Danio rerio: one gene and its partners. The protein of the gene in region 1 purifies or fractionates together with the protein of each later gene. This does not show direct contact. Links are inferred from orthologs where the notes say so. Each region holds a gene or a part of one and is shown in the gene's direction. Other genes may lie near its edges. The genes, in order: exoc7, exoc6 and exoc6b.

What was found.
Region 2: the proteins of exoc7 (region 1) and exoc6 purify together in Homo sapiens (affinity purification with mass spectrometry; 4 studies listed by BioGRID and IntAct, counting the BioPlex papers as one, with this or other methods). This does not show direct contact. The link is inferred for Danio rerio from reciprocal best matches to the Homo sapiens genes EXOC7 and EXOC6.
Region 3: the proteins of exoc7 (region 1) and exoc6b purify together in Homo sapiens (affinity purification with mass spectrometry; 3 studies listed by BioGRID and IntAct, with this or other methods). This does not show direct contact. The link is inferred for Danio rerio from reciprocal best matches to the Homo sapiens genes EXOC7 and EXOC6B.

What each region holds. Positions count from the first base shown.
Region 1 is NC_133187.1:48,856,538-48,865,091, forward strand, and holds the start of exoc7 (exocyst complex component 7), read left to right. Parts: upstream 1-2,978; 5' UTR 2,979-3,088; coding exon 3,089-3,148; intron 3,149-4,313; exon of another isoform or gene 4,314-4,365; coding exon 4,366-4,431; intron 4,432-5,571; coding exon 5,572-5,756; intron 5,757-8,091; coding exon 8,092-8,197; intron 8,198-8,554. UniProt on the Homo sapiens protein: Component of the exocyst complex involved in the docking of exocytic vesicles with fusion sites on the plasma membrane.
Region 2 is NC_133187.1:9,638,049-9,646,487, reverse strand, and holds the start of exoc6 (exocyst complex component 6), read left to right. Parts: upstream 1-3,522; 5' UTR 3,523-3,538; coding exon 3,539-3,669; intron 3,670-6,400; exon of another isoform or gene 6,401-6,404; coding exon of another isoform or gene 6,405-6,529; intron 6,530-8,439. UniProt on the Homo sapiens protein: Component of the exocyst complex involved in the docking of exocytic vesicles with fusion sites on the plasma membrane.
Region 3 is NC_133182.1:25,277,719-25,285,446, forward strand, and holds the end of exoc6b (exocyst complex component 6B), read left to right. Parts: intron 1-2,998; coding exon 2,999-3,125; 3' UTR 3,126-4,750; downstream 4,751-7,728. UniProt on the Homo sapiens protein: Component of the exocyst complex involved in the docking of exocytic vesicles with fusion sites on the plasma membrane.

The sequences.
Region 1 (8,554 bases):
ACAAGATTATTTTGCTTGTTTAAGAAAAATCCTAGTTAATTTTGACTTATTATTTCTGAAAGTTAAAATAAAATTATATCTTTAGATATTTGGACTAGAAACGCTGAGTAACTTGCATTGTGATAATTCAATTTCTGTGCCTGAATACTGATAGATCCCTCAGAAGAACGTCAAATGGAGCTATTCAGACCATCTATTGAAACCATTTAATTGATATATATATATATATATATATATATATATATATATATATATATATATATATATATATATATATATATATATATATATATATATATATATATACAGTTGAAGTACTAGCTGGGCTTCCAGCTAACTCTATCAAGCCTCTTCAACTGCTCCAGAATGCAGCAGCACGAGTGGTCTTCAATGAACCTAAACGAGCACATGTCACTCCGCTGCTAGTCCGTTTGCACTGGCTGCCAGTTGCTGCTCGCATCAAATTCAAAACTCTGATGTTTGCCTACAAAGCGACTTCTGGCTTTGCTCCTTCTTATCTGCTCTCGCTTCTGCAGATCTATGTGCCCGCCAGAAACTTGCCTTCTGTGAAAGAACGTCGCCTCGTGGTTCCATCCCAAAGGGGGAAGAAATCACTTTCGCGAACGCTCACGCTCAATCTGCCCAGTTGGTGGAATGAACTCCCTAACTGCATCAGAACAGCAGAGTCACTCGCTACTTTCAAGAAACGACTAAAAACTCAACTATTTAGTCTCCACTACACTTCCTAATCTGTAATTGCCTCTTTGAATATCACACTAACTGTACCAAAAAAAAAAAAAAAAAAAAAAATACTAATACTACTTATACTTCCCTTCTTAGACTTTACAGACCTGAAACTTACCTACAGCACTTATTCATTGTTGCTCTTGGTTGTGTAAATTGCTTCCTTGTCCTCATTTGTAAGTCGCTTTGGATAAAAGCGTCTGCTAAATGACTAAATGTAAATGTAAAATGAAGTCACAATTATTCGCCCCACTTTTTATATTTTCCCCCAATTTCTGTTTGACGAGGAGATTATTTTTCCAACACATTTCTAATCATAATAGTTTTAATAACTCATTTCTAATAACTGATTTATTTTATCTTTGCCATGATGACAGTAAATAATATTAGACTAGATATTCTTCAAGACACTTCTAAACAGCTTAAAGTGACATTTAAAGGCTTAACTAGGTTAATTAGGTTAACTAGGCAAGTTAGGGTAATTAGGCAAGTTATTGTATAACAGTGGTTTGATCTGTGGAGACTATCAAAAAAATATATAGCTTAAAGGGTCTTATAATATTGTCCTTAAAATGGTGTTTAAAAAATTAATAACTGCTTTTATTCTAGCTGTCTAAAATACAGTATTGCAATATCAGATTTTTCCAATATCGTGCAGCCCTACTATAAATAAATACAATTTATATCTGATTGTGTATGAACTCATGTGGTCTTGAATATGTGAGTGTCTGTGAGTAACGTTGCTTTCTCTTTCAGGCGGTGGTGATTTTGGGTGTGGTGTTACAGGGAGCTAATCTGTACGGATATGTGCGCTGTAAAGTAGGAGCCCGAACAAACCTGAAGAACATGGCAACAAATTACTTCGGAAGGCAGTTTCTGAAACAGGTCTGTGACTTATTATTACAAGTCATCTTAAATATCTTCTTCAAATCATCCTAGTTTAATGAAAAAGTACGTGACGTTGTTTATGTTTATTGCAGGCTTTCACAAAACAAGAGGAGTCTTAAAAAGGAGCAGACCTTGAGAAATCACTCATCAGTGAACTTTTATTATGTTATTTTATAAAACAGACTGATATTAAGTGAGCTAAAAGGGTCACTTGGCTGAATTGTGGTTTTTTTTTTCCTTGTAGTGTAACAATCACAACCTGTTAACTAATTCTTTAACATTTATAGATATCTTTAACTTTATATTATGTTTTTTTTTAAATAATGAACTTAACAGAGTGTTTTGTTACTTAACGTTGCATGACACCATGCATTACGCTTCTGTTTTGTTGACAGATGTACATATTTATATACTGCTGTAAATTATTTTTGGAGGAAGGGGAGATTGTGTGCTTTATGAAAGTTTATGATTGTGTCATATTGAGTGAATGAAAAAATAAAGAGAGTGTCCTGACATTTTATCCTACTTGTCAGAATATGCTACCAACACTGTGTTTGAATGGTTCTGAGATTGGGGTTAGGGATTAGGTAGGTTAGGGTGATATTACAGCTTCATATGACACTGCTCCACATTAACATTTACACTTATAGCAAAATCTGATGGGTTGCATACTACCTACTTTTTGAATGGGAGGTAGGACAATCTGACAGCAGGAGCCTCCCTAAATCTCTGACCAGACAGTGAAGGTGAAGCAACTATCACACCATCAGGTTTTTTCATCAAAATAAGAGTCCCATGGATTTTGAAAGCACTCGTGATTAAAGCGTTGCTTGGTGCATGGTTAAAGGTGTATGCGTTCATGTGTTTTGATTTAGTGTATGTCTTTATTCAACTTTATTTTGTATATAATTTTGTTTGGTAAGGATATTATAAAAATTAAGATCTTATGAATACATATATTTAGTAGTCGTTAACTAAATATATCCCTAACAACTTCAGTCTCGAAGATTTTGAGAAACTTGAATTGATAATAAATTGTTATAATCGTAAAAAAATATGCATTTATAATATGTAATTTTACTGTGTATGTTACTACAATTTGGTAATATGTATAATATAAGTATATACAGTTGCGTTATAAATACTGTATATAAATTGAATATCACTATGTTTCTTGTCATTTTAGTAGTTATAAATTCCTGCCGCACTTCATTTAAGTACACTTTTTACCTTTTTGTCGTCATATATGTATTTCTTTTTAATAGTGAATATTGTTTTGCTTCTGTTTCATTTGATACACTTGGTTCAGAAAGGACTTTTATTTTGTACTTCACTGGCTTCCGTTTGTGTCGTGTTGTTTATCGCTGTCTTCGGGTTAATGTTGTAATATTATTGTGTATTTTACATTGGTCCGGACGGTCCAGTTGTATTTTCCATCGTGTTTCTGACCATCAGGATGATCCCAACCGAAGACGCGTCCGCCAGAAAGCGGGAGATTGAGGAGAAACTCAAACAGGTCTGTTAAACAGAGGAAAAACGGGAAGAATGAAGCATAACATGAGAATCCCGTGATCTGACAGTGTTATTTATGTCATTTGCGATTTAACTAGCGTCATATCTGCTTGTTTGCCTGTCACAAAGATTATTGAAAGCTGAATAATAGAGATAAAATAAGCTGTTGGGGCGTACAAAATGTGTTATTAAGCAAGACACTGCAGGTGAAAAGAGTAGGGAAATCAACACCCAGCTGATTGATAACATTAAGAGTTGCAAACATTTTTCGATTACAAGTTTTTTTGTGTCATATAAATGAGTAATTAATTAAATAATGACGTAATTTGCATACATCTCAAGCATACAAAATGTAAACAGTAATTTTGTACAAACATAAAAGCTTGTTCTTAAAAAATTGTTTTGAAAAGGAATTTTTTTGGTGGGACAGGTACTAAATTCCCAAGGTTACTTAATGAATTTTTATCACATTTTAATTTTCCTGTGTCCTAAATAGAATTTGCAATGGTCTTTGCTGCTATTCCCCTATGTATTGTTTCACTCTGTGAAGGTTACTCATATTCAGGAAATATCTCTGTTACACCCTAAAGATACACTATGTGGGAAAATTTGTTTTTCTTCTCACCAAAATAAGGCCATACGTTCATTATTTCATTCACTCATAAATAGTAAACCCTAGATAATTTCTCATTGGTCTGCGTTCATCAGAGATTTAAATTGGAAAAAATTATGGTCGTTGCCTAACAAATTATTTATTACAAACAAATTTAAAGAGGTCTCATTTAAAATTCTGAATATATTTTACCCTGTCAAACATTTTCTTTCAATGTTTAGACATAATATAGATCAAAACTGTTCAGTTTGTTTATCACAGCCAGAAACTGTGCCGCAGATGTTTTGGAATTGCCAGTTATCGAAGAAAATAGGGTACGAGATAAATGACCAATTTCATAAATGACAAATTATTGACAAATTTCCGTTTAGAATAGCAACATATTATATTTGGGTTTTTGAACTACAACAAAAAAAAAATAGAGAAGAAAACTTATGTTAATAATTTCTTGATAATATTTAGAAAGTACCATATTCACAGATGCAAATTTCATAACCAAAAACCATTTTATCCTGCTATATGAATTTAACTAAAACACTATACAAACAACATAAAGCACTAATAAAAAACACATGTCTTGACCTGTTCATTGTATCTATCATCTACAGGAGCAAGAAACGCTTTCTTTTATCCGTGAAAGCCTGGAGAAGAGTGATCAGCTCACTAAAGGAATGGTGAGAGATTTATATTTATATGAGTGATATCACACTCATAGCAGTGTGATATGGCTGTATATTGGCACTGGTAGGAGGCGTGTGTTGGCTCAAGGCCGCAGACAGAGTATCTTAATGTCACATGATATACAGCCATACCACACTGCTATGAGTGTGATATTGCATTTATACAACAGTTCAACCGCATAATTGTGTATATAACAAAAGAGAATTCGACATGGAGAGTTTCAAAAATCCTTTTGTATGAGGAACTACTTTCTTCCGCCGTTTATTCACATCTGCAGCTGACGTCAGAACAGTAGAAACCGCTGCTCATTCACCAACGTCACTTTAGAGCTAGTGTTTGAGTGATTCTCTTGCGTAATGTCTAAAGTGATGACAAAACAGCTGATTTTGCACACATTTTAAGATTATAAAGCTGAACGGCATGAAATGCCATCAGTCTACAAAGATATCTCCCAGTATTTCTCTATTGCAATTGGGAGATCACTGTAATTAACCCCGAAAAAACCAAAGCAAAGCAAACACTACCAGATTACTATGGTATAAATAGAGCAATACAACAAACAAAAGAGAGATTGACTTAGAAAGTCACTTGGCTGTTCTGTAAAGATTTGTTTAGCTTTAGTTTGAAATATATGCTAACACCTAAGGGCTAATTATTAGGTCTATTTATTAGGGTAAAAGGAACGTCAACCGTCTTTGCTCTGCTCAGTATGACAGGCTGATGACTGCCAACGTGTTGAATCTGCATGCTCTTAAATTCAAAATATTTAAATAGGCACTATCCTTATAAATAAACTGCATAGTTGCAATCACAACAACTACATTCTCGCCTAAAAAGGCTCAAAAGTACATTATGTTGTCCAACAGCTGCAGTATTTGTCAAACTGTTGTCCTCCTTGCCACTCGTGCCACTACTCAGCCAATCAGATTGAAGAACCAGAAAGAACTGTTGTATAAATGTGAATAACACTAGTGTGTCATTCTGGTTCGATCATGTAAAGTCAGTGCTCAGCAGTGTTGTACAGTGATATTTGTTTTACAAGTAGCTTTTTTCCTAATATATCCATTGTAAGTATTATTTTGTGGTTGGTATTTGTGAATGAAATGGTGAACGTGTGTTTTAATTTGTTTAAGGTGTCCATCCTGTCGTCATTTGAGAGTCGTCTGATGCAGCTGGAAAACTCCATCATCCCGGTTCACAAGCAGACGGAGAATCTGCAGCGGCTGCAGGAGAATGTGGATAAAACACTGTCCAACATGGATCACGTCATCAGCTACTATCACGTGGCCAAAGACACTGACAAGATCATCCGGGAAGGGTTAGTGATCACCTATTCAATGGTTTATTATTATTATTATTATTCATTCATTTTCTTTTCGGCTTAGTCCCTTTATTAATCGGGGTCGCCACAGCGGAATGAACCGCCAATTTGTCCACGCATGTTTTATCCATGTTTTACGCAGCGGATGCCCTTCAGCTGCAACCCATGTCTGCGAAACATCCATACACACTCATTCACACTCGTACACTACAGACAATTTAGCCTACCCAATTCACCTGTTTTAGACTGTGGGGGAAACCGGAGCACGCGAAGGAAACCCACGCGAAGGCAGGGAGTACATGCAAACTCCACACAGAAATGCCAACTGACCCACCCGAAGCTCGAACCAGCGACCTTCTTGCTGTGAGGCGACAGCACTACCTACTGCATCACTGATTATTATTATTATTATTAAAAGTTTTAATTTCACTTTTTGCTTGATTCTGATTGGCTGATGAACATTCTACAGCAGGGGTCACCAATCTCGCTCCTGGAGGGCCGGTGTCCCTGCAGGGTTTAGCTCCAACTTGCCTCAACACACCTGCCTGGATGATTCAAGTATACCTAGTAAGACCTTGATTAGCTTGTTCAGGTGTGTTTGATTAGGGTTGGTGCTAAAATCTGCACAGTGTACAGACAAACGCACAGCTAAAGCAGTTCCGGCAGGTTTTGGGTTCATTACAGCTGCATTTGACCACACCAAATGATTTTAGTTATTTCACAGCTACAACAGTCAAAAATCACATCACAGCACAACAGAAGGCTTTAGAGGAGATGTGGAAGAAACTAATCCTACACACAGGAGCAGTTTGAGGTCAAAAACCTGACCGATTTGTAAAATATAACATCTTAACAGTGGCTTTAGCTGTGGAAACCAGAGTATATGCGGAATAATTGACACCAGTGCGTTGAATTATTAGAAAAATTGAACCACTTTAAATTTTGACTGCAATTTATTACAGATAAAGTACATGCAGGAGGTTATTATCACAGATTAAACCCCAACATATTTACCGGCAGCCAGACTCAAAGCAGAACACTGTTGAATAAGACTAAAAGGCTTCATTCTATGAAAAACAAACCATCCTCGATGTTCTTTTATCCCGCTTATTACATGGCTACTAACCACAAATCATTAAAATTACATGCAAAACATTATTTGTAGCTGTAATATTCTATTTGTTTTTTAATTAAACACACGTTTTTAAATTAAACACAAAGCTGACAGAAGCAAAAGCAGCTAAATGGAATATACACTAACCTGTGCATTATTCAGCCACTAGATGGCATTAAACAGTCAAAAATGCAACGCTGACAGAAACCAAAGCAGTTGAATGGACTATACCAGGGGTCGGCAACCCGCGGCTCTTTAGCGCTGCCCTTGTGGCTCCCTGGAGCTTTTTCAAAAATGTTTGAAAATGCAAAAAGATGGGGGAGGTTAATATATTTTTTGTTTTAATATGATTTCTATAGTAGGACAAACGTTTTTAACGTTTTCAAATGCTGTCAAAGTGTGTAGAATTAATATTTAATTTCAACATTTCTGTCAACGAAGATTTGCGTCATAGCCTGCGACACAGGTTTCTATCAGCAGGGCGGGATGCCAGGCAGGTGGCTGTTGTAAACAAACCGGAAGATAATAAAGCATGGAAAACCGTTCAAATATGGTATGACATATTAGAACACCTATTTGCAAACTTTAAAAACATTAATTCAGTGCCAGCATACTCAATTGCCTGTGATGTGACCGATATTCAACGCGTTTTTTTGCAGGTATGTGAACTCTGATGGGCCGCAAGAAGCAATGATCAAATTAATACCACTAAAAGACAAGAGGCTGTGCTGAAGTGTTTTAATGACAACAAAATAAATACCAACCACCTTATTTCAGTGGCTATTTAATCATGAAGGCTCATTATGTATTTGTAGCCAATTTAGTCATTTTTATAGTAGGCTAATATAGCTAATATAGATACATACAGCATGTGTTTCCTTCATTATAAGGCTTATATAAGGCTTTACATTTTTTGTGGCTCCAGACATATTTGTTTTTTGTTTTTTTGGTCCAATATGGCTCTTTCAACATTTTGGGTTGCCGACCCCTGGACTATACACTAACCTACATATTGTATATTCACAAGACTGGAGCAAGCAGTCAAAAATCGCAACATGACAGTCAAGCAGCTACATTTGAATGTGGATATAGGTAAAACATAACGGTCAAGGGGACGTGAAGTTCCCGGATGAGCCTGTGTCATTATAATAACACATGAAATAAAGTGTGACTATCCAATCAGTGCTCATTTTGGTTTCATAATAATTTCTCTTGCAGACCTGCTGGTCGCCTGTACGAGTATCTGGCCTGCATTGCAAAGATCCAGAAAGCTGTGGAGTATTTTCAGGACAACAACCCTGACAGCCCTGAGCTTAACACCGTGGTACGTCTGTCACACTCTCTCACACTTCAACCAAAATCACACACTACTCGAGTAGGTACTACATTTGAAATTACCACAATTGAGAATATCGGCATTCGTAGGTCATCATTACTCATATACACTATGTGACAAAAGTCTTGTCGTTGATTCCAGTTGTAAGAGCAACAAATAATAACTTGACTTCTAGTTGATCATTTGGGAAAGTGGCATGAATCATCTGTTGTTCTGCATCCCAATCCTCACAAATACTGCAGAAGACCTACTGGAACCAGCATGGAGCCAAAATTCTCCAAGAAATCAGTCAAGTTTGGTGAAGGAGAAATCATGGTTTGGGGTTCATTCAGTATGTGGGTGTGC
Region 2 (8,439 bases), about 39 Mb from region 1:
TCAACCGATTGCAAACAGTACAGGCTTTTGTAATGTGTAATGTTGTAATATTTGTTCTTGTTAAATGTAATCAAACACTACTCTTATGCTGGATATTCTTTCTTATATAATAAATGATTACATTTCATAAAAAATCCTACATTACCATTTAAAATTTTGAATTCATTAATTTTTAAAAATGTTTTTGGATGAATTCTTTGCTCACCTTGGCTGCCTTATTTATATTAAAATTGTAAAATAGTTTAAAATAAAAATACAGTTTTATAATAAATGTATTCCGGTAATAAAAGCTGAATTTGAAGTCATTACTCCAGGCTTCTGCGTGATTTTTTTAGAAATCACTGTAATATGCTGATGTGAACAAATGTTATTATAATTATATATTTAATATTATTATTGATCAAACATTTATTTATTTTTATCTAGTTTTATCTTTGATGACTAAATGTTTTCTGGAAATATCTTCGAAGAATAGAAAGCTAAAAAGAACAGAGTTTCTGTTCTTTGTTTTTTTTTTAAACAGAAATTCTTTGTAACATTAATTATAAATGTATTCACTGACATATTTGATCAGTTGCCTTCCTACTGAATAAAAACACATTTTATTTATTTATTTTCTTTATATTATTTCCCTTAAAATCTGAATCGTGTAATGCAGTTTCCACCAAAATATTAAAGGGCACCTATTTTACCCCTTTTACAAGATGTAGGATAAGTCTTTGTTGTCTCCAGAATGTGTCCGTAAAGCTTCAGCTCAAAACACCCATCATTATTATTATAGCCTCCAGAATCTGCCCATTTTGGTGTCTGAATACATTGTAAATGTTTTAGTATAGCCTGTGGCTTTAAATGCAAAATTGTTGCTTCTCCCAGCCCAGCATGCGTTATGTCAGGTAAACAGCACAGTGACAAAGGCAGACATGGATAAAGCTGAAATACAGCTCATTTGTCAAAAATACCAAGTATGTGTTTCATGTATCTGTGGTGTTTATTCAAGCCTTTCTGACATGATGAGTCTCAAACAAATGCTGTTTGCAGTACTCAAACACATATATTAGCGTTTACTGACACCATGTGGCTGTGGTGATTATAGTGGTTAAGAATTATATAGTGATTTTACTGTCTTTATTACAAACATGCTTTTGTTTTTTTGTGGGCAGGAAAAAACTAATCCTATGTCACGTTGTGTTGGGCCTCAAAATCACTGGGATTTGGGTCCTATTTTAACATCAGAAAATTTAAAAATAGAGACTTATTGGGTTTTTATCACTCCAATATGACTTTGAACACACTAAACCCACACACAGTTCTGTCCAAACAGCTTACAAAAGTTGATTTTCATCATACTGTAGGTGCCCTTTTAAGCAGCAAAAACGGTTTAAAACAAATATTAGAAATGATTCTTTATTAATGATTCATTCTTTATTCTTTAGGTTTATAATATTTGCTTAAGGATAGTATGACTGAAACAATCACATGAATAAATGACATTTTAAAATATATTATATTTTAAATATAATATATATATATATATATATATATATATATATATATATATATATATATATATATATATATATATTTCTGCTTTTACTGTATACTAAGGTTAGTTCACCCAAAAATGAACATTTCTTCATCATTTACTCCAACCCAGGCTCATTCTGAAAACGTAGTGCCGTGGATGTTTCTGGAGGCCGAGAAATACGTCCCGGGAGGTATGTATGGTTGCATTTCGTTTTTTTAAGCGAACGATATGGGGCGGTATGACGTTGTTCCCTTTCGCGCTTACCGGCTGAAAGCTTACCTCCGTGTGGAGGGCTTTCCCGCCGCAACCAGTTTGTTCAGTCAGCTCATCGTGTACGTCAGCAGATTTTCAGATGCAGAGAGGTGGAGTTGAGTTGACCATGGCGACCGGGTTCGAGTTCGGGAAAGAGCCATTCTAAAAATAAGGTAAGACAAAAAAAGAATCCAAAAAGTAAAGCGATTGACTTCGTAACAGGGTGAGAACATGGTGATATCCGAAAACTTGGTAAAAAAAAGCAGACAAGGGCTTTTATTTTTATTTTAAATTTTGTAAATTGTTGGTTGGGTTTAGGGAAGTAAGTGGGGGGCTGGTCAATAGGTAAAATTGGTTCGGTTTAGGGAAGGAGAAGGCCGGGTGGGTCAGCCGATTGGCCGGTCGCACAGTCAATCAATCAGACAGTCAGACAGCAGCCTCTGATGGGTTTACGCGCGAACGGCACTCGCGAGAGACATTTGAGATGCGAAAAAGCCTACACAGCGGCCTCTAGTGAATTCGCGAAAAAAAAAAAGAAAAAATATATTCCGCAGTCTCCAGAAACGTCCACGAGACTACGTTTTCAGAATAAGCTTGGGTTGATTTACTCACACTTCAATAGTTCTAAACTTTTATGAATTTCTTTGTTCTGTTGAACATGAAACAAGATATTCTGAAGAATGCTGAAAAAATATTCCAACCCAGGCTCATTCCAAAAACAAAGCCCCGCGGACGTTTCTGGAGACTGCGATTTACATGGCCGGAGGTACATATGGCCGCATTTCGTCGGCTCTGACGGCTCACCTCCGTGTGGAGGGCTTTCCCGCCACAACCAGTTTGTCCGCTTAGCTCGCAGTGTTACGTCGGCAGAGCGGAGGCCCGGAGAAGGAGGAGGAGCCGGCCGCAACGACGATGACCGGGATCGAGTCCGGGGAAGAGTGGTTGCAGAAATCAGGTAAGATGAAAAAAAGAATCCAAAAAATAAAAGCGAACAAGTTCGTGACGGGGCGAGAATGCAGCGAAACCCGAAAACGTAGTCAAAATTGGATGAGGGCTTTTGCTTTTTTTTATATATATATTTATTTCCGGACAGCTTTTGTAAATCGTCGCTTGGGACAGGTGGTCGCTCGACAGCGGCCTCCGGTGGCTTTTCGCGTGAGAACAGCGTTGGCGCATACGGCGCGCACTCCCGAGAGGTGTTCGAGACGCGAAAAAGCGCGCACTGCGGCCTCTTGCAGATTTGCGAAAAACAAAAACTGCACAAATATGTACCTCCCGGGACGTATTTCGCGGCTTCCAGGAACGTCCACGGGGCTACATTTCCACAATGAGCCTGGGTTGAATTATTCAACATGTCTTTTTTGTGTTCAACAGGAGAAAGAAGCTCAAACAGTTTCTCAAAAAGACCATTTTTATTTTTGTGGTGTACTATCTCTTCAAGATCAAGAGTAAATTAAGCTTTTATTTTATTATTATTCTAAACTTTTTAACAGTAAGCAAAAATATTTAGCATACTATACAATATATGCTTTTCTTGAGTGACTTTACTACCATAAAGCACAGATCCCAGTCCAGCGGTGTGATAAATCTCAAAGCACAATTTGCCAATATTTAACAGGACAGCACTTAAAGCCTGTTTTGTTGGATTCAAAGTACTAGAGATCACAAGATCTGTCGGTTTTCCTCAGCTGCAGTTTTCTGCTGACAGTAGTGTGTTCATGTCCTGCTGGAAACACAGTTCAAACCAGCACACAGACCATCATGTACGACAGCAGCAGCAGCCTCAAGATCCCCAGCAGTCCCCAAGAAGAGGACAAAGCTGAAGGAAAAGTCTATGGGAATGTTTTTGCAGAACTGGAATCAGTAGATCTGCCGCTGGGAACGAGTTTAAGGTAGAGTGACTGAAATAAAATAATGTTTTGTTGTGTTTAATATGTCCTTTTTTTAAGCAATGACATGTAATAATTATTTTTAATGTATTAAGTGTTATTACAGATAATGCAGGCATAGTGCAAAAATATTTGCTGAAACAACACAATTCTTGAGGTTTTTTTGGGGACAACTTAATTGTTTATGTTCAATCCACTTAAATTTTTAAATAAATAAATAAATAAGTTAACTTAATTCCTTCACGTTGCCCCAACACAAATCAGATGTGTGGAATCTAGCAGTTTTACAGTGTACACTCAATTCATTCATGTTGCTCCAACACAAATCATTTAAGTTAACTTAAAAAACTGAAGCGGATTGAACATAAAACAATTAAGTTGTCCACCCAAAATCTCAAGAATTGTGTTGTTTCAGCTCAATTTAAACGAGCAGTTTAAACAAGCAAAAAAAATATGTGTTTGTTTGTGTGTGATTTGGTTCCGTTATGACAATGTGCATTTTATTTATTGGATTCAGATGAAAATAAATAATAAATAATCTAATTATGCATAATTATGCTCCTAACTATCCTTCTAATTATGCTTCTCCATAATGATTCTAATATGCAGCTTGTGTGCTTGGTAACAGTTGTTGATGTTGAAATCTGATGTTTTTGCTGCTTATTATTTTTGTTGAAACTGAGTAAAACTACTATTTGAAAACAAAAAAGTTCCTTTGAGGAATAAATGTTCTATTTAGTAATATATCCGTTTATAAATAGATTGTAATTAGCATAAATTAAAATGATTCTTGAGCATCAAATCAGCATATCAGAAAACTAAAAATTCAGAGAGATTGATGAATGAATGGATGGATGGAGGGATAAAATTATGCACTGTATAAGTTTTCATGTTCACCCCGTGTTGGCATGGGTTTCCTCTGGGTGCTCCGTTTTCCAAAGACATGTGGTATACTGTAGGTGAATTGGGTATGATCAAATTTAACTTATGGGTGTATGAATAAGTGTGGGTGTGTATGGGTGTGAATAAGTGTGTATGGGTGTTTCCCAGTGATGGGTTGCAGCTAGAAGGGCATCCGCTGCGTAAAACATATGCTGGATAAGTTGCCGGTTCATTCTGCTGTGGCGACCCCTGATTAATAAAGGGACTAAGCCGAAAAGAAAATGAATAAATGAATAATATTTCACATTGTCATTTTACTTTATTTTACTACAAAATACTTCTCTGAAAAAACAAACTTCTAAAGATTCCAAATATTTGACTGGAAGTTTATGAAATACAAATATATATTAAATTACATATATTTATATATAAAGATATAATAGCGACACTGTCCCAATCTAAAAACACTGATGTGTCCACAAATCGACACAAAAAGTATTGACTATTTTCCAGAGATACCTAGATCAGTTAACCTTGAAACTATTTCGCTGACTAAATAATATAATGGTGGTACTGGCAAAATTAAAGGTGTATGACAAACAAATGGAAACAGAACTGTTAATTTACCCATTTTAAAGCAATCGAAGATAGGCATGGCCAGGTATAAGATTCTGACCATATAATAACTTTTAAAATATACTCTTTTTAAATGTCTGGGTAAAAAAACTAAGCTTTTTCCCCTTTCAAAACAATATATTTAAAAAAAAAAATTTTTTTTTGGAGCAGTAAACATGTCAGGCTAAATAATTCAAATGAATCATTGACTTCTGCTGTCTTTATTAGTTTCAAAAACACAGATTTATTTACAATTTAAATCAGCATCTTCGGATGTCTTTTCTGCTGGAGATAATGTGGACCTTTAAATGAAAAAAAAAAATCGTACACATACCTTAGAAACGGTATTACAGAAAATTTTGGCAGTTTTGAAAAAACCTTGATTTTTTTTCAAACCGCGGTATACCTTGATAACTTTGAGAGTACAAAAATAACAAAATACAGGCAAAACAAATTTAATACTCGTAGCTCCTTACAATACATTAAGGTATCATGCAAGTAAATGAATATTAATTATATTATTGCTGAGGCTGTGAGTTAAACTGAATAATGATATAAAATAATGCTCGATTTCTTAAACAGGCTAATCATTTTGCTGTAGTTGTATACAAGAGCCTTATTAATTTTACTTTGCCCGTTAATAGCCTATATTTTGACTGTAAAATACTAAAGGACCTTTTTATGAATCACAGAGGAGCACGGTTTTAACAAAAAAACTTTAATTTTTTTAAGTGAGTACATTAACACCAACTTTTTTGGTGAACTCTCTCTTTAAAGCAATTATTTTGACAAAAAAGACTGAAAATCAGTAACTATCGACTTTCATAGCATTTGTTTTTCTCTACAATGGGTCTTAATGATTACCTGTTTACAACATTAATCACAATATCTTCTTTTGTGTTCAACACAAGAAGAAAATATAAAGATATGAAACCATTTAAGGATGAGAAAATAGTGAATATACTATGTTAATTTAGACTTTGTTTGGTGAATTACCCCTTTAAGAAGAACATTTCAGTTCTTTAAATGTGTTGAGGTGAAATTTGTGCCATCTATATTCAAAGAAAGCATACTTGAACACGTGTATAAGTATAAACTTAGTATTTTAGCTCTGCTCAATCCGCATAGCACAAAATCTCCCAACTATTGACGTTCTATCGAGCTTTCAGTCTGACCTGCAAAGGCTCTGCTCCCTCTTCCGGCGGAGTCGTGTCACTGCATCTCTTTCGGCATTGTCACATATGAACACTGTGACGCTTAGAGCCAACATGGCGGAGAGCGAGAGCTTGGAGACTATCACCGAACATGAACGAATATTACAAGAGATCGAGAGCACGGACACTGCGTGTCTGGGGCCGACTTTACGGTGAGAGATGTGCATCGTCTGCTCTTATTTAACGTTCAGCTGGTGACGTGATGTTTCCCTCTGTCTGATGGATGGAAAGCAGGCCTTTGTTTGCTAAAGATGCAGCTCAGCAGGACTTTATGTCATTGCTGATGAATCTGTCGAATAAAGTGCTTATCTGTTGAACGTGAATGTTTGTACCCATGTTAATCCGTCATAATTATTTAAATGGACTCTGTATGCTCTGCTAATACTGTACACATACATTCAATGGCACAGGCTGCTGATCGCTGTTTTCCTGTCATTCGTGTGCGATTGACTGATGTTATAAGAGGATTATTTGTCGTAATTAGCCATTCATTTGTCTGTTTTCCTGGTTGATGTTGTGATGTAATAGCTAATATAAGATGTAAACATCTGACTTGAAGCATCTGAGGCCCAGTGACGGCATCACTGCATTATGGATATGACTGAGCTGTCGACAGGTGGAAAGCTCGCAGATAAACATAGCGTCATTTCTTTACATTTAGACCGAATTTTTAGGTTAAACACGGCAGTATTCACTTCATTTCCCTTTGCAAACAAATTTCAGCTATGGTAGAGCTGACGAAATGTCGTGGGTGTGGCGTTAGCAAATGAGTCTGGAGCTGGGAAATTAATATTCTGCCCCGAGCTTCACTGTATCTGTGACTGGATGTGATGATTTCAGCACTTGCTGGCATGCCATCATATGAATTTTGTCCATTATGCCTATTCACTACTAAGGGGATAGTTCACACAAAAATAAATATGCTGTCGTCATTTACTCTCCCTTCACTTGTTTCAAACCTTTATGAGTTTCTTTCGTCTGTTGAACATAAAGGAAGATATTTTGAAGAAAGCTGAAAACCTCTAACCACTGACATCCATAGTATTTGTTTTCCTGCTATGGATGTCAATGGTTACAGGCTTTCAGCGCACTTCAAAATATCTTATTTTGTGTTCAACAGAAGAAAGAAACACATAAAGGTTTATAACCACTTGAGGGTAAGTAAATGACTCTATTTTTATTTTCCGGTGAAATATCCTCTTAAAAAATATAGGTTTGGCGTTGACATTAAGGGTTTCATGAACCTTAAACATAAATGAATCCAAAACATAGGAAATCTGAAACATTAGTCTTGTGTAATAACAATGAAATGACCCAAAGAGAGAAAGTACTGAACTACTAATATTGTGTATTTTATATTAGATTCAGGTCAGGGGATTGGCTTGGCCATTCTACAGCTTGATTTCCTTTCTCTGAAAGCATTTCAGAGTTTCCTTGGCTGTGTTTTGGATCATTGTCTTGCTGAAATGTCCACTCTGGTTTCACCATCATCATCCCGTAATGTAAATATTGGACTGAAGCAGCTAATGTTCATTTACATTGACGAAGGGCAGAGGGTTGCTGAAGAACTACTAAGAGATTTCAGCTGCTGTCTGGGCTTTCACTGCCTTTCTACACCATCCTTCCTACATGTGTTCAATACTTTTTCCTTGCGCCATTTCATTTTGTTTTGCATAACTTGATTTGTGAACTAATTCGATTTGTTTTCTTTGCATGTTTAGATTTCTTTGGTTGTTAAAATATTGAAAATTTCAAGTCATGGCACCTTTAGAAATGTAATAAATATAGAAATATAATTTGCACTCTAAAAATATTGTTTAGACAAAACAAAAACAAAAAATTAACACAACAGTTTGCATTAATATATTCAAGTTGCGACAACATCTAACAAAATGAGGTTCAGAAAACAAACTTTATTATGTTAGCCAAATCTTTTGCTCTTCAATCAGAGGCAATTTTAAATCGCAAAAAGCTAACTTTTTTAAGTCAAGTACTCAAAAAAATAAGTTGTTTCAATTAGCAATTATTGAAAACAAATCCAGTGTTATGTACTTGTTTACAT
Region 3 (7,728 bases), on another chromosome or scaffold:
AAGGACTCTAAGTTCTCTTCAAAAACCTATTTGTGTTACACACAAACATTACACACAGGTTTGCTTACATCAAGAATAAACATGACTTGTGCCGAGCACAGTTTGTTTTCTTCAGTGAATTATCGGCAACCAAGAGCATCAAACCATCAAAATTCAAGAGACATTTAAAACCCCATAAAGACTAGTGTGTCAAGCTAATAATTTTAGTTCACAATAAACAATTTTCACTAAAGTCCAATGTAAAATCCTTGCTTAAAGCAAAACTGTGTCTCTGTCTGACTCCATTTCAAAACTCTTGTTTGGTGAACTCCAGAAGGAGGTCACAAATTTTCATGCTCAACATTGTAGGCATTGCGCACTATGAGGAGGTGTTTCTTATCACCACCATAGTCACAGGTGACTCTAAGATAAAGCTGTGATGCGTACCAGTATGGCAATACAGTCATGCGTATGTGTCATGGCTATCTTGCCTAATTACTTTTAATAAATAAGATTGACAGAGTTTGTTTATTAAGTTGAATTAGTGAGTGGTGATTAAAATGCTTCGCTAACAGACTCACTTTTTTATTTTTGTAAACAGAGTTACTGTATTCGAAAGGCCCTTATTCTAAACCTAGTAGTTTTTTATGGATTCTATGAAATCTGTGAATGTTATTAAAATGGTTTGTTGCAACAAAGTTTAGGTTCACCATTTTCTAGATTTTTCCCTACTATTAGTCATCCTAAAATCAGAATTAGCAACTCTTCTATTTTTGGCTATGATGCAAATTTCCAAGAGGCGTCAACCCAAAAATATTGTTTTTAAGTACTAAATTAGCACATCCTAATGACTTCTGAAGGATAATGTGAATAGACAGTTCAGCGGTTCACTCTCATTTACCCTCACTCATCTCATTAAATTTCATCAACTATTTTCCCTAATATACTGCCCTTACATTTTCAAGCTGAGGATGATAGACTATACACATCAAAAGAATGTTTTTTTTCAATGCCTGAATGATGATGCGTCACTTTGGTATTTTGTCAGCCTGGTGCTGAGAGCAGTGCCACGGTTTGGCTGGTTGTGAATGTGAGGAATGTGTATGCATTGGCTGGGTGATCCCCAGGCTACTGGGAATGAGAGTTTGGCACAGATGGCAGGAAAGTGAGCAGGCTCATTAGAACCTCTTTGCAGGATAGCTTCAAGGTTCCTGCACTAAAGCACCCTATGAGTGTGTGCCTTAACCACACAGTCTGTGCCCTTCCTTTAGTTCTTTAGTTGTGCAACACGCTTTAACTGGCATGGCATGATTTCTTATGTTACTTTCAGGTTGTATTAATTATAATAATTTAATAATTCCTTGCATTTATGTAGCGCTTTTTTTGGACACTTAAATAGCTTTACACGGCTTTTGAGGGGAATCTACTCGACCACTACCAGTGTGCAGCATCCACCTGGTTGATGCAATGGCAGCCATATTGTGCCAGACTGCACAGCTGATTGGTGGAGAGGAGACAAAGTGATGAAGCCAATTACGATATGGAGATAGTCAAGAGGCCAGTGGGCGAATTTGGCCAGGATGCTGGGGTTAAACCCCTACTCTTTTTGGAAGGACATCCTGGGATTTTTAATGACCTCAGAGATTCAGGACCTCAGTTTAAAGTCTCATTCAAAAGACGACGATCACTGAGCAGTAAAGAGTCCCCATCAATATACTGGGACGTTAGGACCCACACAGAGTACAGGCCTCGCCACTTACACCACTTTTTGCAAGAAACCTAGCTTTCTCATGTGGTCTCCCAACCAGGTACTGACTGGGCGCAGCCCTGCTTGGCTTCAGGTGGTGACCATGTGAGAGTTGCAGAGAGCTAGCTGTCAACTAAATTATGCATTTTGTTGGATTGGGCTGTAGTGAACCCATGCTACTTTTTTGTTCTCTATTTGTTCTAGTCAAAGTTCAGAGTTTTTATGCATACTCTATGAAACAACTGTTCAAACAATATATTTTTAAATGAATTGCTTTTGGTTGCTTTTGGTTGATCTCTGATTATCGACAGGTTATTGTCCTGCAGTTGTGTCAGTAACGCATCTTCAGAAAAGAGATGTAGTTACAAGAGAAATGTATTTTAGTTAAATGTTCTGAAACAAATTGGATATCAGCACAGGCTGCTTACATGTACAGCCCGATTTTAATTAATTGATTTTTTTTTTTTTTTAGATTTAAAAAATTACTTATTTTACTAATTATTCGTCTACAGGGTAACAACACATTATTTGGGGGGGGGGGGGGGGGGTGTTGATAGAAAGAAAAATAAACATAAACCATTTGATTAATGAGTGCTTTTGTGGGTGAATTAAAGGTCCTATGAAATTAAAATAAAATGTTGTAAGATGTAAGTTTTAGTCTGTTAGTTTTAAGGACATCTATATGTTGGTGTGCTCCAAAACTGTGACAAAAATCACATTTAGAACATTTAAAACCGATATAAACATGTAAATCTTGCAGTTTGTCATTTCTGTCTAAATAAATCAACAATTTTTTCCACCTATCCTCAAACTTCAGTTTCTCATCAAATCCTGACCAATCAAATACTCTCTAGTATCTGACATGCCCCGCCCCCTTCAAGACCCTTCACATTTGCTTTTCATTTGATGCACAAGATCTCAATCACTCTCACTGGCAGAGCTGTGAGAAAAAACAATGCCATTGGCTGATTTGGTAAAAGGGGACGAGCTACTCTGTCCCACCTTCTCTTCATTTTTTCAGCTGGCATTATGACAACATCGAGTAAAAAAATGCACATTTCAAAGATCTTCAAGGGTCCTTTAAAGATTCATACAACTATCGTTTAAACAAATACAAAGACATTTTATCATAAATAAACTTTAGAGAAAGCACAGCCATTGGGCAAGAATCTTTCTAGAGTCCATCCAGTTTTTTTTTAACCATATTTGACCATTGAGTTGTATCTGTCTGTTTTTATTATCTAATGTTCTCATATGCTTCATTGTGTGCAGGATGAAGGACACCAGCCGCAAGAACAACATGTTTGCCCAGTTCCGTAAAAACGAACGGGACAAGCAGAAGCTCATAGACACCGTTGTCAAACAGCTGAGAAATCTCATTGCCTCCAACCAAGCCTGAGAAAGCCAATGCTTCAGCGAATGACCCCACGTCACGATGAGCGTGTGGACTGCTCTGGCACATCTCTAGTAGCTGGACGTATTATTCTTTTCACACAGACATTTGCACTAACATGCGCATATAGATGCACCTCTATGAAAGGTGCGTCTGCTAAACCATCCCGTGCCTGTGTGATGCGGTGTCCATGTCTTCCTGCGGGACTGTCTCAACACATTAAGGACACCAAATCACATTTTGCTCTTTGGTTGTGTTTTATTATTTGTGTATTAAGCGTCTTACAACAGAACCGTTTTTCCATCACACTAATTTGCTGTCATACGTTGAACTGCCTTTATATGTAGTTCTTAAGTATTATTTATCCCCTTTTTTCAATTTTCAGCTACAGTTACACTATAATGTGAATATTAAATTGCAGAAAATTGGAACACTAACTAGGCTTGAATATTGCTGTTGTGATGTCTTACAGATCAAATTTAAAAGGATCGTTCAACCACATATGAAAGTTCTGTCATGATTTATTCATCGTTTCTTTCCTCTGTGGAACACAAATGTGTTTTGAGAAATGCGTCTAAGTGCTTCTAAGCATTTCATTTTGTGTTCTTCAGAAGAAGGTTGAACAAGAATAAATATCTTCAATATCTTTGAGAATAGGAAATAATATTGTCATTTGAGGGGTCAAGGGTTCATCTGAGTGCTAATCATAATGAGGGACGTTTGATGGAGTTCTTAATACAAGGAGTCCAGTTACTGCCCTTGTTAAATCTTTCATTTGTAGTAATTGTATACTAGACATTCAGTACTTCAGCTTTTGTCTGTTACAGCCAAGATGTAGATTATACTGTAGCTTAATACCTTTTGACCTAAGAAGATTAGTTCGCAGTCAAAAACATGTTTTTGATTGTACTTCCAATATGCAGTATATGGACGCACTGTATGTCTCTTGTAGTCAGATATATCACCCAGCATTCATTGCAAGAACTGAGTGAAGATGTGTAAAGTGGAGGAACTTGATGAAATGATGCAGGGTAATAGCACAATTATACAGTCACATTGTACATTAAAACTAATATAAAATGCTTTTAGTATTTAAACCATGTTGTCTTCCCTTAACGGTAATATTTCTACTGATAGGATTGCGGGTGCAATATTACATGCCATTTTTCCTTTTCAAATTCAAAGAGTTTTAGGTAGCAAAGATTGTTTGTTTGTTTGTTTGTTTAAAGGGAGTTTTTTTCTTTTCATTTTACTTTGTGTATTGAAGCCTGTCGCTTACAATGGATGCAAACTATAAAGGGAATTCTTCATGTTTAGAGACGGAACAAGCACAGTGTCAAATTATTTCAGGCTGTTTTCTTGGTTCAGCTCTTCCTGTTTGTGCCTTGACTTTTTTTCCATGCCAATAACTGATTTCCGCACAGCACCTGGATGTATAAGCAAGGTATGGACGTGTGTTGGTGTGTGTGAGTGTGCATGAGGACATTCAGCCTTAGCGGACCACTCTGGTTGTAGAGAGCAGAACTGACTCCAGAGAAATGCACTGTACAGATTGTTATTTTAAACCACTTATGAATATTACAATACTAATAAATTTAGCACATGCCAGCAAATGCGTTATACATCAAAAACGTGTGCTGTACTTTTATTTTGCATCCCATTTTTAATGTGGCACAAAGAAATGGATTGAGAACGGGGCCAAAACATGAAAATACACAAATGCCTTGTTTTTATTTGACATGTTTTGTTAGTTTTGTAATTGGTTTGATTCATTTTTTGGAACACATTACAATAAGGTTTAATTCTTTATCACTGGTCATCTTCTCAAGGTGAGCTGAAAGATTTTGACCTACAGTACTTCATATGCTATTGATGCTAACTGATACTGATGCACTTACCCTTCAAGACCACGGAAGATTTTTTGGCACCAAGACATCTACAGATAATTTAAGTCAGGTAGGTTGCATCAATCCTGTGTGATATAATTATAAACCCACAGATGCCTAATTAGATTCATCTTTGTCAAAGCATTTCTGATCTGTAAGTGCATGTGTGGCAGTTCATTATCCTGCAGAAAGAGGCCTTATCCACCAGGGAATGTCACTGTCATGAAGGGCTATACTTTGTCTCCAACAGTGGTTTGTCCACATGAATGGCTGGTGCCAGGATTATCTGGCAAAACATTGTCCATAGAGTCATGCTTCCTCCAACTGCTTGTCATCAGCCACAGTGCATCACTTCCTCAGGTAAACAGCACACAGCCATCCAGATGATGTCAAATTAAACTGGATTTATTGGACCAGATAACCTTCTTCCACTGTGCTTATATCCAGTTCTGATGCTTGTGTTCTTGTAGGCAATTTTGAAGGATTGCAGTTGTCTTAGAAATTCTGCTGAACAGGATCAAACCTAACATGTGACCTAACATCAAGTAATGTTATTGAAGATTTAAAAAAAAAAAAAAAAAAAAAAAAAATATATATATATATATATATATATATATATATATATATATATATATATATATATATATATATATATATATATATATATATAATATATGTATATATTTCTCAGTGGTAAGTCATTTTAGTTAACACATTAATTAATGGTAACAAATGAGACCTTAAACATGCAGTCAAAGACAGGATTATTTGCCCTCCAGTGAAATTTGTATTATTTTTCAAATATTTCTAAAGTTCTGTCTAATTGAGATTTTTTTTTACACATTTTAAACAAGAGTTTTAATAACTTATTTCTAATAGCTCATTTCTTTTGTCTTTGCCATGTGCATAAATTTTGTAAGGTACTAGTACTAAGCTTAAAGACTAACCTAAGTTAATTAGGTAATTAACATGTTAAAGGCTGATTTATAGTTCAGCGTTGAGTGATCGGTGTGACCCACGGCTCCTGCCTTGCACGTAGTTGTGCCTTTATACTTCTGCGTGATGTTTGTGTTGCTCTGCAATAACACTTTCAAAACGCTAGCTGGCGTTAGGTTTTTATGTTCCTCTGTGTTGAGTTTCTTCACGGGTGTTGTTTATTTCTGAATGCTACAAGTATCTAACACGCACTTATTCTGAGGCAGGAACCGGAGGACGTGCAACAACTTTAATCTTGAGGTGAACACAAAACAAAGCTTCCATCTGGAGCTCGTTCACGGGACTCAACACTTAAATAATAGCTCTATTGGGCTCGTGGCTCTGAGCACCGCCCACACTTGTCACCGCTACCAAACCTACCTGGGCTTTGCGACCGTGCAAAGACTGCTCCGGACCATGTGCGCTTGACGCAGAAGTATAAATAAGCCATAACAGTGGTTTGTTCAGAAAATAAACGAGAAAAAAAATCTTAAGGGGGCTAATAGTAGATTTTAAATTTGTATTTTTTTTTTCAGGCAAATTAAAATCATAATAATTTCTTATATATAGGAAAATTTAGTAGGTAATACTGTGAAAACTCTCCTTGCTCAGTTAAGCATCAGGAAATAGTAAAATCATCAGGAAATATTTGAAAAATTATTCAAATTTCACTGGAGGGCTAATGATTTTGCCTTTACATGTATATTGCACTCAAAAAAAGTTTTTGCTTGATGCTTGTTCAAACTACTTACTTAAAATGAGTCAACACAATTCCTGATTTCTCTAAGAGCAATATGACTGTTTTAAGTTCAGTTCATTTACATTTGTTAAACCAATTAAGTTAACATATTCATTTGTGGTGACACAACATGAAGGAATCATTGAACCCAGCATTTTTTCACTGTGGTTTCTGTTTTAGGATTTTTTGTTCATTAAAAAGTACAGCCTAAATTTTCAAAAGCTGCACTTTTCTCCCCAAAGGCGCCATATTGATATTTTTAAGATATGGATTAGTTCTTAAAAGTACAAGTGTGTTCCTCTTGTAAAGGTACCACCCCAGTCTACCTTTATTTTTGTGAGTGTAGTATATACACATGAAGTAGGAATGTAAAATAAAGATGTGGAAAAGTAACTGAAAAATAAAATATGCTGAGGTTCTTCTATTTTTTGTTTAACTTCAAATTCACTCACTGTAAATCAGGGGTGTCCAAACTCAGTTGTGGAAGGCCTGTGTCCAGGAGAGTTTAGCTCCAACCCTAATCAAACACACTCGAACCAGCTAATCAAGCTCTTACTAGATATACTAGAAACCTCCTGGCAGGTGTGTTTAGGAAAGTTGGAGATAAACTCTCCAACACAATGGCCCTCCAGGACGGAGTTTGGACACCCCTGCTGTAAGTGAATTGAATTCAGTTAAGAATACCAGCCCTGGTCCAGTTATGCTCTAATGACAAATATAACAGGGTGTCTGCAGGGTCTTAAAAAGTATTAAAAGTTGATAAATCAATTATGAGAAAATTAAGGCCCTTAAAACATATTTAAAAAATCTTAATCACGTTTTTATGTGGTCCTAAATTTTGTTCAAATGTTGTCCAAGTGTTTGACTCAAAAATCATAAATATATTTATTTTCCTCCTAATTTTAACAACAGTGTACTCAACCCACGCGATTGGTTCAGGCCGGAGCATGCCCTGTCAAGCTTCAGAAGGTGAAGAGACGCTATCCACATGTAGCGAAACTGATGGGAA